Macaca mulatta: one gene and its partner. Each later gene encodes a partner of the first gene's protein in a complex. Links are inferred from orthologs where the notes say so. Each region holds a gene or a part of one and is shown on either strand. Other genes may lie near its edges.

Region 1 (3,500 bases):
TCAGGGAGAGCTGTGCAGCGCCACTGCTAGACCACACTTCTCCCTGCCCTTCCCAGGAGGACTGCTGGCTAAAGACAATGACTGCTGCCAAAACCCACGCCAGTAACTCTGGGTGGATCCATCACAGCTAAATACGCAAGGAGATGAAACCACCCTGAAGGCCCACTCACCTTTGTTGAGAAGCTGTGTGCGGAGAACAACTGTTCCTACAGAAAGCTCTACCAGCTATCTGAGCCCACCGTCCCACACTCCCCGCGGCAGAACCTACGAAAGTCTATGTGCGAGGAACGCCAGCTGAGTTATAACTTGCGGGACCTCTGCTTTGGAGCCGAAGGAAGGGAGGGCCCCTGTAGAGGGTACGGCAGACGGTATGGGAGGGCGGTGTTTAACACCATCAGGCTCAGGAAAGGGAGCAGGTATCTAAGAGCAAGGAAACTACCAGAAACAAAACACGACGTCGATTTTCATACGACCAGCCTGACGGTCCAAGGTGGGGGACAGGCCAATCCATAATCCATTAATAACCATTAACAGACAGGCAGGTGGGCCTATCCAGAGCCAAGATCAAAGCCTGAGGACAAGCCAAGGGAAGGGCTTCCAGACTAAGGTTCAGAGAGGAGCGGCAAGGGGAAAGTAAACATCGGTGGAAAAGGCAACAAATTACAGTGTGCTCATATCTTCCAAAGAGCTTCCTCTAAAATGACCTATTTCATTAGGCATTTAAATGTTCTAATTACGAAAAAAAAGAAATGTTCTCTATCTCACACCTCCAGTGGCTTAAGCCATCAAGCTGCAGTGTGTGTGCGGTGTGTGTATATAGAATATATAAACACAGATGCACAAATCCGACTACACACATGCAATACATACTCATGTATACACAAACACACATACCAACACACACCCCATATATACACACCCAGCCCACAAATACACACTTCTGTACCTATGGACACTCACTATAGCTAGATATGCTATATACAAACACTAGTATGAATACAAGCCAGACAAAGAAGAGGAAGAAAATATACCTCTTAAATGTCAAAAACGACAATGTGAAGACGTGAGGTCACAGCAAACACCCAGTCCAGGGAAGGCCAAGTACCCAGAAGTGCAAGGCTCTCTGGCCTGAGCCCACCCTGTGGCCCAGTGGAGCCTGCTGGGGACCTACCCGCCATTGAGGGTGGGCGTCAGGCCGAAAAGTGTGCAGAGTCCCACAGACATGAGCAGCGAGCTGAGCACTGTGACCACGGCGGCCAGGGCCAGCCCCCACTTGGACTTGACCATGTCGATCTTCCCTGGAGGGCAGAGAGGGCACATCAGGGCAGCCCCTCCCACAGGGGCTCTCGGGAGTAGGTTGCCCTGACAGTTGAGGAAGGGAAAGCTCCTGGTTTCACCAAAGGAAAGGGATAGGCACAAGTACTTCCCAGTGTCATGGACATAGTACACCTTTTAGGAACCCTAACCCAGGAAGGGGCTGAAAGTGAGAAGAGCCCCGGACCCACCCAAGCTCCTAAGACCCTGCTGGGGGATAAAGCCCTAGCTCTGACGACCAGCAGGTGTGTTCTATCTCTCTACCCCAAGCCACCTCCAGAGGCAGGGAAGCAGGTGACATGGAAATGCCCGTTTAGCTTGGAGAAAGCTCCCGGTCTCCCTGCCATGAACCTACGCGTGGAGAAGTAGATGTAGGCAAACAAGATGATGTAGGTGGTCACAAGGGGGATGAGCTCAGCGACACCAATCTCCTCCTTGAAGTGCACGTGGACCAGGCTCTCCGCCCGAAGGCTGCAGTTGGGGCTGGGGTGCAGAAGCATCAGGCGGGCACGCAGGCTGCCCAGGAACCTGGTCAAGGAGTAGGGTGGGGGTAGATGGAAGTGTTGCCCTTGGTTCCGGGGACAAAGACAATCCTTGGACAGAGAGTCCATTAGGACCTCCCTCCTGCCCCTGTGTTGGAAGGGAACTCCTCTCTGGTGCCTGGGCTTCTCTGTAGTCTCCAGGGGTGCTGGGAAAATCACAGAGGGGCAAAGTTTTCTCAGGAACCCCTCCTGCTCCTTTCTCAGCTTCCCTTTCCGGACCTACTCTACACTCACTTTTTATTTATTTTCCTATTTTATTTTTTGAGACAGAGTCTCGCTCTGTCGCCCAGGCTGGAGTGCAGTGGCGAGATCAGGGCTCACTGCAAGCTCTGCCTCCCGGGTTCACGCCATTCTCCTGCCTCAGCCTCCGGAGTAGCTGGGACTACAAGCGCCCGCCACCTCGCCCAACTAATTTTTTGTATTTTTAGTAGAGACGGCGTTTCACTGTGTTAGCCAGGATGGTCTCGATCTCCTGACCTTGTGATCCGCCCGTCTCAGCCTCCCAGCGTCTGGGATTACAGGCGTGTGCCCCCACGCCTGGCCTCCAACACTCTTGATTACCAAAGACCCAGGAGAGGCGATCAGAAGAACCTCGAGTGCCGTTGCCAGTTGGGGAGGTGCCTGCAGTGCCTCACTGGGAAGGACTCAGGCCATACAGGGCTCACTAGCAACCAGCTGGGGATGCCTGCCCTAGGCTCAAGAGAGACCAGAGGAGGCACCAGGACACTGAGACTGCCAGCCCTGCCTTAGTCCCCTATGCTTAACCAGCTGTCAGGTCATCCCCATTAAAATGTGGTAGACAGTATCATCTAGTGTAAGGGATGTAAACATTTCAACAGGAGGCCTGGAAACTCTCCAAGTTTCCAGCGGGGCATTCAGAACACTCTAACCAGAAGAGGGACTACTCAAAGCCTCATGTCACCCAGCAGACCAATCAAGAGCCCAGGGTGCTGTCAATCTTACTTGGCATGGTAGCGCTGGAAGACCAGGGTGATGGTGTAGGAGACCATCCTCTTCCTGGTGTAGAGGCTCACCCCGCTGTACTTCCCGGGAACACCAAACAACAAGTCTGCAAGTAGAAACCAGCAGGTACTGACAAAGAAATGACAGCTACCGCAGAGCCACCAAGGACCCCTTTTTCACCCCCACCCTGGGAACAAAGGGTAAACCCTTATCTGCCTAAGTACACATCAAAAAGACAGTGACCAATGGGCACCCTTGCAGGTCTGAAGGGAACTTGTACTGCGGCTACCTTTGAGTGTGGCTGAAGTCTGCAGGGTTTTAGGCTCGTGCTGGTGGATGGTCCCAATGATGTCAGGATCAGCATGGAAGCGTTCCCGGTCATTCTGCCAGAAATTCCCAGGGGACAGCAGCAGGCATCCATGCTCAGGGAGTAGGTCCCTGAGCTTCCTGAGGCCTGGCAGCAGGTCGGTCACTTGCAGACACAACTCCTCCAAGCTCCTGGTCCCAGAGCTGCACAGGAGACAGGACAAGGAACCTGCTGTGTCTGCCACCACAGGGCAGATCTGCGGTACTCAGGGGACGTCCTCTGTCTGTTCTTCAATACCCCATATTTGCTCTCTAGTAACGCCAAAGAGCCTGACCACTAGGGCAGCAGGGGAAAGTACTTCCAGGTGGCCAATA
Region 2 (4,005 bases), on another chromosome or scaffold:
GTGGGCAAATCACGAGGTCAGGAGTTTGAGACCAGCGTGGCCAATATGGTGAAACCCCATCTCTACTAAAAATACAAAAAGTAGGCAGGCGTGGAGGCACGCACCTGTAGTCCCAGCTACTGGGGAGGCTAAGGCAGAAGAATCACTTGAACCCGGGAGGCAGAGGTTGCAGTGAGCCGAGATCATGCCAGGGCACTCCAGGCTGGGTGATGGGGCGAGACTCCGTCTTAAATAAATAAATAAATAAAAATTCAGAATAGGGAAGCAACTCCTCCTTATGACGAGTACCTTTCGGCACTTATATGGGCTTGCTTTTGCACTGACGGCACCACTTTCATTCAAAAAAAAGAAGTTCGCTTGCACAATCTCCAAAGACCCGTTTGGCTTGGTTTCATGTTCTAAAAGTAAGGTTTTAGATTAAGTGAAAAATAATACTTCTGACACATAATTATAAGGTTTTTAAATTTTCTCTATGTTGGTGTAAACTTATGAAGTCCTTCCTATGAAAACTGTCCCCCAAATCACGTTACTTGGTCGTCCTCGAGGAACGATTTTAAATGAAAAGCACATAAAGTGCTGTAGCATGGAGACGAGAGACAAATTACTATGCTCTTCTCCCAAATTAAGTTATGACTTACTAGGGGAGGAAAAGGAGCAGTATAAAGCCCGGTCCTCTGCGGGAAGTACTCGGAGGCCTGCCCCGGAGCGCGCTCCTCTCGGCTACGAGATGAGGGGCACGCAGACGGCCGCGCCTCTCGGTGAGTGTGCGTGTATCAGTGCATGATTCCTTTACTCCGCCCACAGGGTCTGGGCATCCGTCATTACCCACGGCTGCCTGGTCAGCAAACAACAGCTGATCCGACAGCCGCCAGTCACCTCGACGGTCCACGCCCACCGCTAGCCTCCAGTCTCCCGCAGACCGGAAGCCCCTTTGCCCCGGCTCGCAGGTCCACCCTTTATTGACAGCAGGAACCGGAAGCTCTTTTGCCCCGATCGCCTGCGCGCGGCCTCGTTGGCCGCACAGGCGCAGTGGAGCTCGGGCGGAGTTGTGGGAGTGGAGGAGGAAGAGGCGGTGGGGAGTACGGGGGCTGGTCCCAGAAGATGGCGGAGGCGGGGGTGAGTAGGGGGTCTCCCGGCGAAACGCGGGTGACGTGGTGCTGAGGAGAGCGGCCTGAGGAGGAGGGTGGCCCTCGGGAAGAAGAACTACTTGTGTTGTTGCAGCCTGGGAACCCTGGTGGCAGGTGCGGGGAGCCAGGACCACTGATGGGCCTGCAGGGCAAGAGGCTCCGCTTACCTGAGAGGGGTCCGCGAGGTCCAGAAGGGGACTGCGGGATCGGGGAGGGGTCATAGGAGGCGTCCAGGCTCCTCGGGCAGTGGATGAGTGTCTGAGCGGGAAGAAGTCTGGAGGACGGCGGGAAGGGCGAGCCAGAGGTCTGATGAGGTGGAGGTCAGCGAGCTGTCAAGCATAGAGCTGCCAGGACTTGGGGGCTTGTAACCTGGGAGAGAAGACTCAGGTTTGGGCCGGGGTTGGATCCCAAGAAGACAGGTTATAATCCACTCAAAAGATAGGGCATTGGGTTGAGGAGTAGGACTCTGGCATTTTGGACTGGAATTGGTTACCTATGGAATAGGTGTTTCGGTAAAGCCAAAGAATTCTTGCCAGGGCCTGGAAGTGGATTTGATGATAGTTACTGGATTTTACGGTTGTTTAGTGGGGATTGGCAATATGGAGAAGGAAAGCAGTGTGGATTATGGGAGTGGGCGCGAGCAATGGTGCTAACACCGTGTCCAGTTAACGTTGGAAAAAGTTGTTAAAAGTATGATATTAGCTAGATACTCTAGGAAAATATACCATGAAGAACTTGCTGTTTTGTAGGATTGATGAAGAACTGCTTTAAAAACGAATGGTTAGGCTTGGCAGCTGGGCCGCTGAAACTGTTTGGTATCAGTATTGCGGTGAAGCTGAGGACTGCAGGGGAATGCGTGCTCCAGTCCTGGTGCAGAAAAAATAAAAGCAGCCAAACAGTAGCTAGATGGTGTTTTGTAACTTTTGGGTTTGGCCCTGATAGTGAACCACTGAATGAAGATAGATGAAGGGAATGCTACTAATGGGGACCCCAAAGAAAACGGAAATTAGACGTGTACCCTTCCTGTTTTCTCTTGCTCAGTACTGTGTTTTATCATTGTGTTATGTCACAGTTATCGGTTCATGTCTGCTATCCAGTGACCAGGCTGTGAATCATGTACCTTTGGGAAAGAGGTTGATTCTGTTTAACTGACAACTGTTGCTTTTGCAGATGGTCACAGGGAAAGGAAAGGATAAAATGCAGTTCAGTAGTTTAAAGACAGTTTTCTTAGTTCAGAAACTTAAAACGATGGAGTAACTTTTTTAGGCACTGAGATATGACATTTAAAAGCTGTAAGGGAATGTGAATGCAGCTAGCCTACTGGTTTCTGTGTTTGGGTTTTAATGTTGAGAGGAAAGAGTTGCAGTGTTTCTAAGGCAAATATTTCTTTTCTTCCTAGAAATTTTTAACGTCTCTAGCCCAGGATACATGTAGATATGTTTTTATTTAGGGAGAATTAAACTGTTTCATTGATTTAAGTATGTTTTTTTCTAATGTTAGTGCTTATCCTATTTCAAGAATGCTATTCTAATTAAGAGAGCATATGATGAAAAATATTTGAGGTAGTAATTCCACTTTATTGTTTAGTAGCTTATGTGACCTAAGCACCCGAAGAGACAGGGTTATCTGAGGGAGTAAAAATATTTCTTTTACTGCTAATCATTGGAAAAAGAATGGTCTTGTCATTTGGTTTTAGGGGGTGTTGCAGTTGTTGCAATGCAACAGGTTCTTAAGGTTACTGGAATATTTTGTATGTGTGTTTGTTTTCAAACGCTTGTTGCCTCTAAGTTGTTTCAGTGGCCAACATGAACTTTGATTTTTATTCACAAAGCTCATAATCACTTATAACTCTTTTTTTAACCTAAAAGTAATAATATCAATCCATTAGTAGGCAGCCATACACCTGGATTAATGTTTTTCCAGTATTGATGATTCATCACTGATCTATGCAAATTATTTGAACTATTTTTCTTTCTGTTTAGTATTGTACTTTCCAGAAATTTTAGGCCAGGGCTCAAAGTAGAATTTTTCAAGTTTAGTGGAAAGTTTTTCTTTGTGAATTGTTGAAAACATTATTTTGGTATTTGGTAGTTTACCAACATGATTTTAAAAACGGTTTCTTGTGTGGCACTTAAATTGTTTTGTACCATGTTTGTGAATGGAAGCAATGTGGTGAAGCAGAAAGAACTCTAGACATGGGGTCAGAGTGGGTGGGCCTAGTCCTGGTGCTACCTGGTAACAGTTCTGTGATCTTAGAAAGTTACTTAACCTATTTTATTTCGTAATATGGGAACTAACAGCACCTGCCTATTTACCAGGGTTGTTTTCAAGAATCTATGGAGATACTGTCCTTTAAACAGTACCTTTATACCAGAGACTTCTTCCCTGGTCAGCAAATTATTTGTCAAGTAATCTAAAGTTTTCAAATATAGATTTTTAAAAAAATTTTGGAACCTCAAGTTTATCATTAATGTAAGACTAATATTTAAAGATATAGAACCACTTTGAAGAAAATGGTATCAGTACATAATCAGAAAAACAAACTTCAAAATAAACGAAGGGAGCTTACTTTCCCTTGAAAATAATCCACTCCTCTAGTGTGCAACTGGTATCATAAACATCCTTTTAAAGGAATTTCATTGTTGCATGGTAGGGGGTGAAATGGTTTTGTGGAAGCCTCTATCCCTTTGATGAGTCTGGTCATTTTCGGGCATTCACTATGCATGTTTGTGGTAATAAGAACTGATGGTACTGTCTTAATCTTGTTACTCCAGTTGACCACTTTGCATGTCATTGGCCTTGCAAGTAGAGTGAGAGAACTGTTAGATTACTGATTCTTTACTTTGGATCATGGACTTTTTTGAGTACTTGATAATAA

What was found. Proteins that work in one complex are often made in the same cells at the same time.
Region 2: the proteins of SCAP (region 1) and INSIG2 are in contact, whole or in part, in a cryo-EM structure (PDB 7ETW), measured with the Homo sapiens proteins. The link is inferred for Macaca mulatta from reciprocal best matches to the Homo sapiens genes SCAP and INSIG2. Residues at the interface, in NP_036367.2 of Homo sapiens: Pro200, Ser206, Val282, Ala283, Glu284, Ile286, Pro287, Thr290, Ile294, Ala297, Tyr298, Phe301, Lys305, Tyr351, Val354, Val355, Glu359, Thr409, Leu410, Val411, Ser638, Tyr639; in NP_001308258.1 of Homo sapiens: Phe41, Val45, Leu48, Leu49, Ile51, Val55, Leu57, Phe58, Pro59, Val62, Ser65, Ile66, Glu104, Trp105, Ser106, Met109, Arg110, Val112, Ala113, Val114, Val116, Gly117, His120, Gln132.

What each region holds. Positions count from the first base shown.
Region 1 is NC_133407.1:110,783,496-110,786,995, forward strand, and holds part of SCAP (sterol regulatory element-binding protein cleavage-activating protein), read right to left. Parts: intron 3,364-3,500; exon of another isoform or gene 3,330-3,363; coding exon 3,109-3,329; intron 2,926-3,108; coding exon 2,820-2,925; intron 1,843-2,819; coding exon 1,670-1,842; intron 1,299-1,669; coding exon 1,172-1,298; intron 1-1,171. UniProt on the Homo sapiens protein: Escort protein required for cholesterol as well as lipid homeostasis.
Region 2 is NC_133417.1:19,426,372-19,430,376, reverse strand, and holds the start of INSIG2 (insulin-induced gene 2 protein), read left to right. Parts: upstream 1-1,205; 5' UTR 1,206-1,241; intron 1,242-4,005. UniProt on the Homo sapiens protein: Oxysterol-binding protein that mediates feedback control of cholesterol synthesis by controlling both endoplasmic reticulum to Golgi transport of SCAP and degradation of HMGCR.